Drosophila melanogaster: one gene and its partner. The protein of the gene in region 1 interacts with the protein of each later gene in a biochemical or structural test. Each region holds a gene or a part of one and is shown on either strand. Other genes may lie near its edges.

Region 1 (4,624 bases):
GCCAAGGGTAAGAATTTAGACGTGCACTACTTGCCGGCCAAAATAGACGGCGATGGGGAAGCGAATGTAAAAAATTACTTCAACAACTACACACGTGAAGCAACCGAATTCGGCACAGGAATCCTGACGAACGCCTTGCGCGGATTTCCTTTAATGGGAGAGAAGTTGAAAGTGCCCGAAGGATACTGCGGATTAGTTCTGCAAGAAACAGAGAAGCCCATCAGCGATACCTCCGACCGAAAGTTGCGGCTAACTGGAGTATTTCAAGATTTTACTTACTGGAACTACGACAAAGTGCCGTCCAATGGCGATCCCTACCGACAGGCCCTTCCTCTGCCGGATGTTGCTCAAGCTGTATGTATATACCACTATATATTCTCGAAGTACACCTAATAAATACCACATTTTATTTATTTAGCTCTCGCAGCCCATTAGCGAAGAGGATTTAGAGAAAGAAATCGCTCGTAATAAGGAAAACGTCAAGGAAAGCACGTAGTTTTGTTTTAATCGCGCTTACCGCGTTCTATTTATTACTCCAAAATCTAATCCAATACATATATATCGTACATTTTATCTGGTATAAAACGTGGTATTGATGTTTAAATAGGTTATGCTTCACTCATCAGCGTCCTCGAATCGCTCTTCGTCGTCGTCCAAACTGAGATTCTGCACGCCGTTGCGCCCAAGCGTCAATGCATCATCCTCCTCCATAGCCTCATCCTCTAAGCCACCGGCATCCTGCATAGGATCGCTGTCTTCCGAATCACTGTTTGCCGAATCAGGATGTAGGGCCTGGCAAGTCGTCATGGCACTGTACATAGTGTCTACGGTGTGAATGTCCTCCGGCATAAGCCAGCACTCTGTGACCTCTCCAAATTGCTCGTCTACGGCATCCTCGAAATTGTCGTCCTCATCGTGCTCATCGCTGCCATTTCCCTCGTCCACTTCCGCTTCCGAACCACCGCCATTCCGACCATTGACTGCCTGCTGGGGAGGATCTCCGTAGACGCCGTTCCACTCGACTTTGTGGTCCAGCATGAAGTAGATGCACTTTCTCGGATTCGAAGAGATACCGTGCAGGCTAACCTGCTTCCACTCAATGGATATACCCTCCGCCAATTCAGTTGGCTGCCAGGATAGCGTGCTAGGAACAAGAAATAACAGTTACTTTAAAAGATTTTAATAAATAGAGAGCAATACCAGACACCGGCAAAGCTCTAAAGCGCTCACTTTTGGGCAATGTAAACTGTGCCTTCGCCCACCACTTTGTCGCCTAGTTTCAGCTTGATATTGTTTGCCGTATACAACAGACCATGTTCCGGCGGGGAAACACGCATAATAAGAACCATTTTAATACAGCTTGTTAAATTAATTGTAAAAAGCGCGATCAAACAACAAAACTTGCAAAAATGCAGTGTTGAGTACCATTTTTTCGTCCCCCTTTTGAAAGTCTGGCAAGGGTGGCAATAACTAGGAGAGACAGCTGGACTCTGGCAACGCTCTGATGTATTTTCCTTCTTTGAATGTAGAATCATCAGAACAGGTGTTCTCGGAGGACAACTTCTTTCTTACCACTGTTGAATTTAGAAATAGATATATAAAGAATGGAACAATTTTGTCAAAAAAAGATAAAAACGTAGTACGTAATTGTGCTACCAGATCAGCGCGTACGATTTTCTCCCAAAGAGGTCTTAATTTGGCGCTCTAGCCGCGGTCACACTGGTTAGGTAGCGTCTCGTTCAATTTTCAATTTTAGCTGTTAAAATTTGCGATAAATGTGATAAATGCGAAGTTATATGCTCGCGCATCAAACCTTCGACAATAATACACTCCTCAAAACGAACCCATTACGGACAGAAGTGAAAGAAGTAGCCTTCGGGTTAACGAAACGAACTTGTCATTGTCCTTCCAAGTTGTTGTTATTTTCCTTATCCGTTGGCAGTCGTTATTATTGTTGTTGTTGTCGTTGTTCGTGGATATATACAGTGTTTACTCGATAGTCCCGACGGATAAACCACACAGATTGCATGGAAGCAACGATGGATACGGACCATGCGAACCTAAATGACTTCAGGGATCGCGATCTGGCCACGCGCATGCGCCGCTGCAATTACGAAAAATACAAATCCTTGGTGCGCATGCACCTATCGTTTGAATTGGAGCTCAATACGGATGAGTAAGATGGATCACCTTGGTATATGGCTGCTCACCACATTACTAACGATTCCCTTATATATGTAGATTCGATCTCCCCTGTCACGAGATTGTCTACGAGGACAAGGGCAAGCTGAAGAAGTGGAACCGCCTGTCTAAAAAACATCGTTTGGGACATGGAGCAGCTGCCACATCCTGTGCCGCCGGCTCCGCCAGTAAATCCGTGGGTAATAGTCCCACAGAGACACTGCAACAGCAGATTGATCCGGGATTCTTAATGCATCTGCAAGAGCTCAAGGAGTTCCTAATGCTGGAGAAGAGTAAGTTCGCTGAAGATCTCAAATTACGTTCATTAACTGATCCACTGTTTCAGATCTCACCCAGGAAGGCCTATTCCGCAAGGCTGGTGCGGTGTCCCGACAAAACGAACTTCGGATGCACATCCAGCACGACAAACCACTGAATTTGGAACTTGCGGGCTTCTCCGCTCACGATTGCGCGACCGTTTTCAAAGGTTTTCTATCCGAACTTCCAGAACCGCTGCTTACGGATGCCCACTATCCGGCGCATCTGCAGATAGCCCCACTCTGCCAGGCGCTCAATGGTCAGACGACTGCCACTGCTGAGCGTCAACAACATCTTCTCAACTCCGTGCAGCTGCTACTTCTCCTCCTGCCCGAAGAACATCGTGAACTTCTTCAGCACATCATTGAGATGCTGCATGCTGTGGCCAAGCATGAGAAAAGCAACAAGATGAGCGCCGATAACTTGGCCACTCTCTTCACACCGCACCTAATTTGCCCAAGGCAACTGCCACCCGAGGTCCTGCACTACCAGGCCAAGAAAATGTCCAGCATCGTGACCTATATGATCGTCCGTGGACTGGACATCTTCGAGGTGCCTGGAAAGCTGTCTACCGACATCCGGGCGTACTTTCTCGAGCGCAAAAGAAAGAAAACCATGTCGCCGGAACAAACGCTTGACGAGTCCATCTCGGACGTCTCGACGGTCAACACGGTGTACACTTTTGTAGACCGAGCCGCCACTGCAGCGGCCACCAATACGAACAATACGGACACGGAGCTGGCGCAACTTTATGCCCATATCCAGAGCATGCCGGAGTCCTCTAAGAAGAGGCGTTTGATTAAGCAGTTCAACAAGCAAAATGGGCAGGGTAAATTACTTTATATATTTAATGCTTTAATGCCCTTTCACTCTGGGTCTTATGATTTAAATACCTCTGCTAGTAATTTCAAAATTACTTGAATTAAGGTTCAAAATATCTTGAATCTAATTAATATAGTTAATATTACGGAAGTAAGAAATCTATAGCCAATGTTTAAGTTTGCACATAATAACGAGGTAATTTTTGGGAAAAAGTTAAAATAATTAAAAAAAATATCATTATGATTTATCAACTAATCAATTTTCATTTGATTAGGCACACCGTTGCAACTGGTGGTAATGAATCGTTTGAAGAACAACGAGGCCACTCGAAGTGCCAAGTCCCTGGGAGATTCCATTAAGAAGCACATTTTCCACAAGAGCCTCATGTCGCGGACTCCAAAAAGAGTGCCACCCAGTTTTCATTTGGCTAGTGGATCCGAGGTAAGTCGTGCATTTGGACTTCGCCTACTGCTGTGTTTTTTTAACTAACCGCATGCCTTTTTGTAATCCATCGCATGTTTATCGCCAGACGCCCAATATGTCGCATGTGAAACCGCCCAAGATGCGGGTGCTTTTTCAGAGCCCCACGCCACCCACACCCACCTCATCGACCATCACCAGCGTCAGCCTGTCCACTAACACTCGGCATCAGCTTCAGAAATCCATCTCATCTGCTTCCCTCAAGATCGAATCCTCGTCTTCGGACAGCAGCTCTAGCTGTGCGACCAGCGGTAGTATCTCTGCTCCAGTCAGTCGACAGCAATCGAAAGAATCGCCTTCTGGCAATGGAGCTGCTGGTGCTTCCGGCCAGGAACTGGATGAGATCGATGCCGATTGCTGCGTGACGCCTTTAAAGATCATGTCAGCGGTTGCAAAGCAGCTAATTGACAAGAAGAGCGTTGCCTGGGACGAGCACCGACTGCTGGAGATTGAGGAGTACTCGAATCCCTCAACGCCCGTTCAGCAATCGACGCGCTATAAGTCGGAGCCTAATCTGTCAAGTATCCTGCCGCAGGTGGACGCAGAGGAAGAGGACGACGGCGCACTGACGCCCATTGTGGAGGGCCGCAGTACCATGGTAGCTAGCAGCAGCCATATGGGCAGATCAATAACCCGAAAATTGATGAAGGGCGTTAGCATGGGTAATCTCAGATTCCCATTCAGTACGCCAGAGACAACCAAACGACTGGTGCGAAGTGTTTCTGCCACGCTCAGGAGGCGCCCCAGTGGCGAAGAAAGCAAGCCATGCCCATTGGCAGCGGATGCACCACTTCTGGAGGATGTAGACGATAGCGATGAAGAC
Region 2 (3,567 bases), on another chromosome or scaffold:
TGCAAAAGAGAAGGATTTACCACTTATATTTCAAATCGTAAGCCTGTGAAAATAAAGGATGCATTTGGCAGTGTTGAATATGGACGGTTAAAAGGTCCAAGCGCATTTTTAGCTAGTTTGTTAATTAGGCAATACTACCATGTACTCTCTTTATCATTATATCTTATTTTTTATCAATAAAATTTTTCAGCTTCTGATTTTAAAACAGCTACACGATACCCAAAGTTAAAGAAATCTATTGCAGTGTAAGAAAGTCTGCTTACCAATCAAAATATCCGTTTTTTTTCTTTTCTGATTTGTATACTGCCAGCTAAAATATCGCCATTCTACGATCTATCGAAGGTTATGAAAATTCCGTTATACTACAAACTCAACCGCTCGCTACGAAATGTATCGAAGCACTGATTTTCTCAAGTGGCCATATTGAATGTCAACCTAAATTTCTGCCTGCCTCGGCATTTTTTTTTTCCATTTATGTAGCAATTGAAACGAGATCCCACCATGACGATACTGACTCTTTAATATAATAAATTTAATCGTTCTGTTTTCTTAATATCTACAAGTCTTTCGAAAAGATGTGATGTGATGATGAGATAAGATGGAATTACTTCTTGGGTGTCTTTTTCTTTCCGCTAGTGGTGCTGGCTTCTTTCTTTCCCTGGTAGAGGCCCGTATAATAGCCGGACATGTACCAGGCGGTGAGCATGGCCACGAAGTCCTGTTCGGCGCCGTCCCCTTGTCCGACAATCATGGGCGGTACTGGTGGCATGGGCGGCATAACCAGTCCGCCAGAGATCCTACTCCTTCTGGATGACTTGGGAGTCTTTGAATGACTACCAGCGGATGCCTTAGGGCGGCTCAACTGCTCGTCCTCATCCTTCTTGGCGATAAGGAACTGCTCGCGACGCACACGCTTGCCCCAGGACGGCAGGAGGTCCACGAGCAACACCTCCTGCTCGTTCTCATAGCCCAAATAGCGGAGTACGCAGGTGCCCTTCTCCTCGTTAATAGACACCACAGCGCCCTCGTAGTCCACACCATCCACGTAGGTGGCCCTGGCGTAGTCGCCTACTTTGAAGGATACTGGTTCCGGGCTGGTAGCCCCACCAGTGGCCGAGATCTCGCCAGCTTCTTCTTCAGCTGCGGCAGCGTTCTCCTCCTCGCGCTTGTTGGTGGAATCGGCGAGGCGGCGGGCCAAAGCTTCGCGGGCCAGTCCCACCGACTCGTCGTACGTCTTCACCAGCAAGGAGTCATCCCACACCGCGGCGTTCGTCTCGTCGGACATCTCGGCTTTCTATCCTATCAGGCAAGTATCACGTTTTTAAAGGAAGAACCAAGTTTCGCTTTTATGCGAATTTGCTGTGTGTTGGAAAGCGCAGGCGAATCACCGCTTAGCAGCACAGGCCGAAACATGAAACTATCGCTAAAAGGTGTACATTCAAACTAAGATGTGATAAAATTTATGAAGTCATTCTGGGTATTATATTATTCTGAAAGCGAACGAAATGGTTAAGAAATATTTAAATTCAGTAAAGCTGAAAAAAGTTTTCATACTTTGTGGCCAACATTCACAATGCAATCAGAATACTTCCAATGTAATTGTATTGTATTTATTGTTTTAATTGAAGTCTTCTTTTTATACTTTCCACTAAAAATACTTTATTGTGAGTGGTGTTGTACCTATCGTCCCCATTAACCGCACGATAGTATCGATACTTATCAGCATGCATCTTTAACACAATAAACAAACAATAAATTGATCGATCCGACCTGAAAGCGAGATCGCTAAATTTTTTAACTCAATTTCGGAGGTATGGAGTTGGGGTTGGTGTGCCGAATTTGCCTCGGGCAATGTGAAAACGAGTTCAATATTTTTGAAGTTAAGCACGGCACTGAAGCTTCAATAGCGTCAATCATTTCCGAGTGCACTGGCCTCAAAGTGGAAAAAGGCGATCATCTACCCGAAACATTTTGCACCTCCTGCTGCCAAGATGCACAAAATGCGTTCGAGTTTAGAAAAACCCACCAGAGGAGCTAATAATTTTACGTTTAGTTAATGGAGGAATCCCGATTCCGCAAGGTATCTTATTCCGAGGATGGGGAATCGAGTATCGATGGAGGTGCTTTTCAGCATTTTGTCGAACTCGAAAGTGTAGTTGAAGATTGGCGAGGCAGTGGCATGATCCAATGGGAATGTTGTCTAGTGTAGAACGAGCCTCTTTAAAGACGATGATCAGTTCGTGGACTGTGACAGCGATCAATCCAATAGCCAAGTCAATATTGAGGTAATAGACGAAGACTATGATAGTTGTGAAAACCATAGATTGCAAAATAAAGGACGTGATAATGATAAGCTGCTTCAATGTCCTCATTGCCCAACGAGGTTTTGGATAAACTCAGCACTTAAGCAGCACTTGCTGCTTAGCAGCAAAGGCTTTGAAGAGCGTATCGCATCTTTCGGGACATATTGCAATACACACTGAAAAACGGTGCCCCCATTGTACATCGAATTTTACGCTGGCTTCCAATCTTAAAAGGCATCTAATAATCAACACAGGCGAACGCCCCTTCAAGTGCTCCCAATGTCCTAAGGCGTTTTACCCAGAATGCGCATCTTCGAATTCACATGATGAGCCACACAGGAGAGCGACCGTTCCCATGCACCAAGTGCTCCAAAAGCTATTTCACGAACACGCAACTGCGGTACCATCTAAAGACCCACAAAGAATGAGAGTTCTGAATCGCTTAATAATTTAAGTTATTCTTGACACAAAACTTATGCCCAAGGTCAAATAGACGTGATTTCAATACCCGAAATTTTTAACTATACTGAGACAATCACTAATTGAATAAACAGTCCGAGCTTAAATGCGAAAATTTAGATTTAAACTCCATTAGATAGTTTGTTAAAATATATCGATATTAAAGCACAAAGGAAATACAATACCCCTTGGATCAAATCATAAAGCTTTCAGTTGTAAACTGTTAAACTATATAGAGTTCGTCTAAAAAATGTATTTTTCAACTTAAACTTACACTTAAATAATATTCCCAGCCCTGTGGTAACTTGACAATCGATAACTGTTCCGATAACGATTGTCCTATCGCTTTACCCTACAACAATTGCCATCTCTAAAAAAAAGCGAAAATCATCTTGGGAATTTGCAGAAAACATTTAAGCTTCAATATACCAATCTAAAGAATGGCCAACGTGGAATCGCTGTACAAAGAACTGACCGCCGAGTGGTCAAAGCGGCCACCAAACACCGTCAAATGCGGCCAGCTGCTGGATCAACTGAAAGTAGCGCTCGTGAAGATGGCCTTCCTGCCGACGGACGGAAACGATGCCCAGAGCTCCAAGAAGCAATTGATCCTGGCTAGGAGCGTGCTTGAGGTGGCCGTGGAGCATAGCGTGCTCAGCAAGGACCTGCTCGCCTTCGAGCGCTACATGGCGCAGCTGAAGTGCTATTACTATGACTACGCTAAGATCATTGGCGAATCGGAGAGCAAGTATAAGCTGCTCGGTCTGAATCTGCTGTACCTCTTGTCTGGCAACCGGGTATCCGA

The links.
Region 2: the proteins of icln (region 1) and Smn are reported together in a solved structure, tested with the Drosophila melanogaster proteins (one study listed by BioGRID).

The regions. Positions count from the first base shown.
Region 1 is NT_033778.4:17,587,758-17,592,381, reverse strand, and holds icln (icln), read right to left. Parts: upstream 1,419-4,624; 5' UTR 1,350-1,418; coding exon 1,231-1,349; intron 1,145-1,230; coding exon 616-1,144; 3' UTR 501-615; downstream 1-500. Other genes in the region: CG30105 (uncharacterized protein), read left to right, coding at 1-354, 419-496; RhoGAP54D (Rho GTPase activating protein at 54D), read left to right, coding at 2,028-2,176, 2,242-2,474, 2,528-3,328, 3,596-3,762, 3,851-4,624. UniProt on the Drosophila melanogaster protein: Involved in both the assembly of spliceosomal snRNPs and the methylation of Sm proteins.
Region 2 is NT_037436.4:16,579,898-16,583,464, forward strand, and holds Smn (survival motor neuron), read right to left. Parts: upstream 1,651-3,567; 5' UTR 1,555-1,650; intron 1,491-1,554; 5' UTR 1,286-1,490; coding exon 605-1,285; 3' UTR 501-604; downstream 1-500. Other genes in the region: Rpn12 (regulatory particle non-ATPase 12), read left to right, coding at 3,203-3,567. UniProt on the Drosophila melanogaster protein: Core component of the survival motor neuron (SMN) complex that plays an essential role in spliceosomal small nuclear ribonucleoprotein (snRNP) assembly in the cytoplasm, is required for pre-mRNA splicing in the nucleus and acts as a chaperone that discriminates target and non-target RNAs of Sm proteins.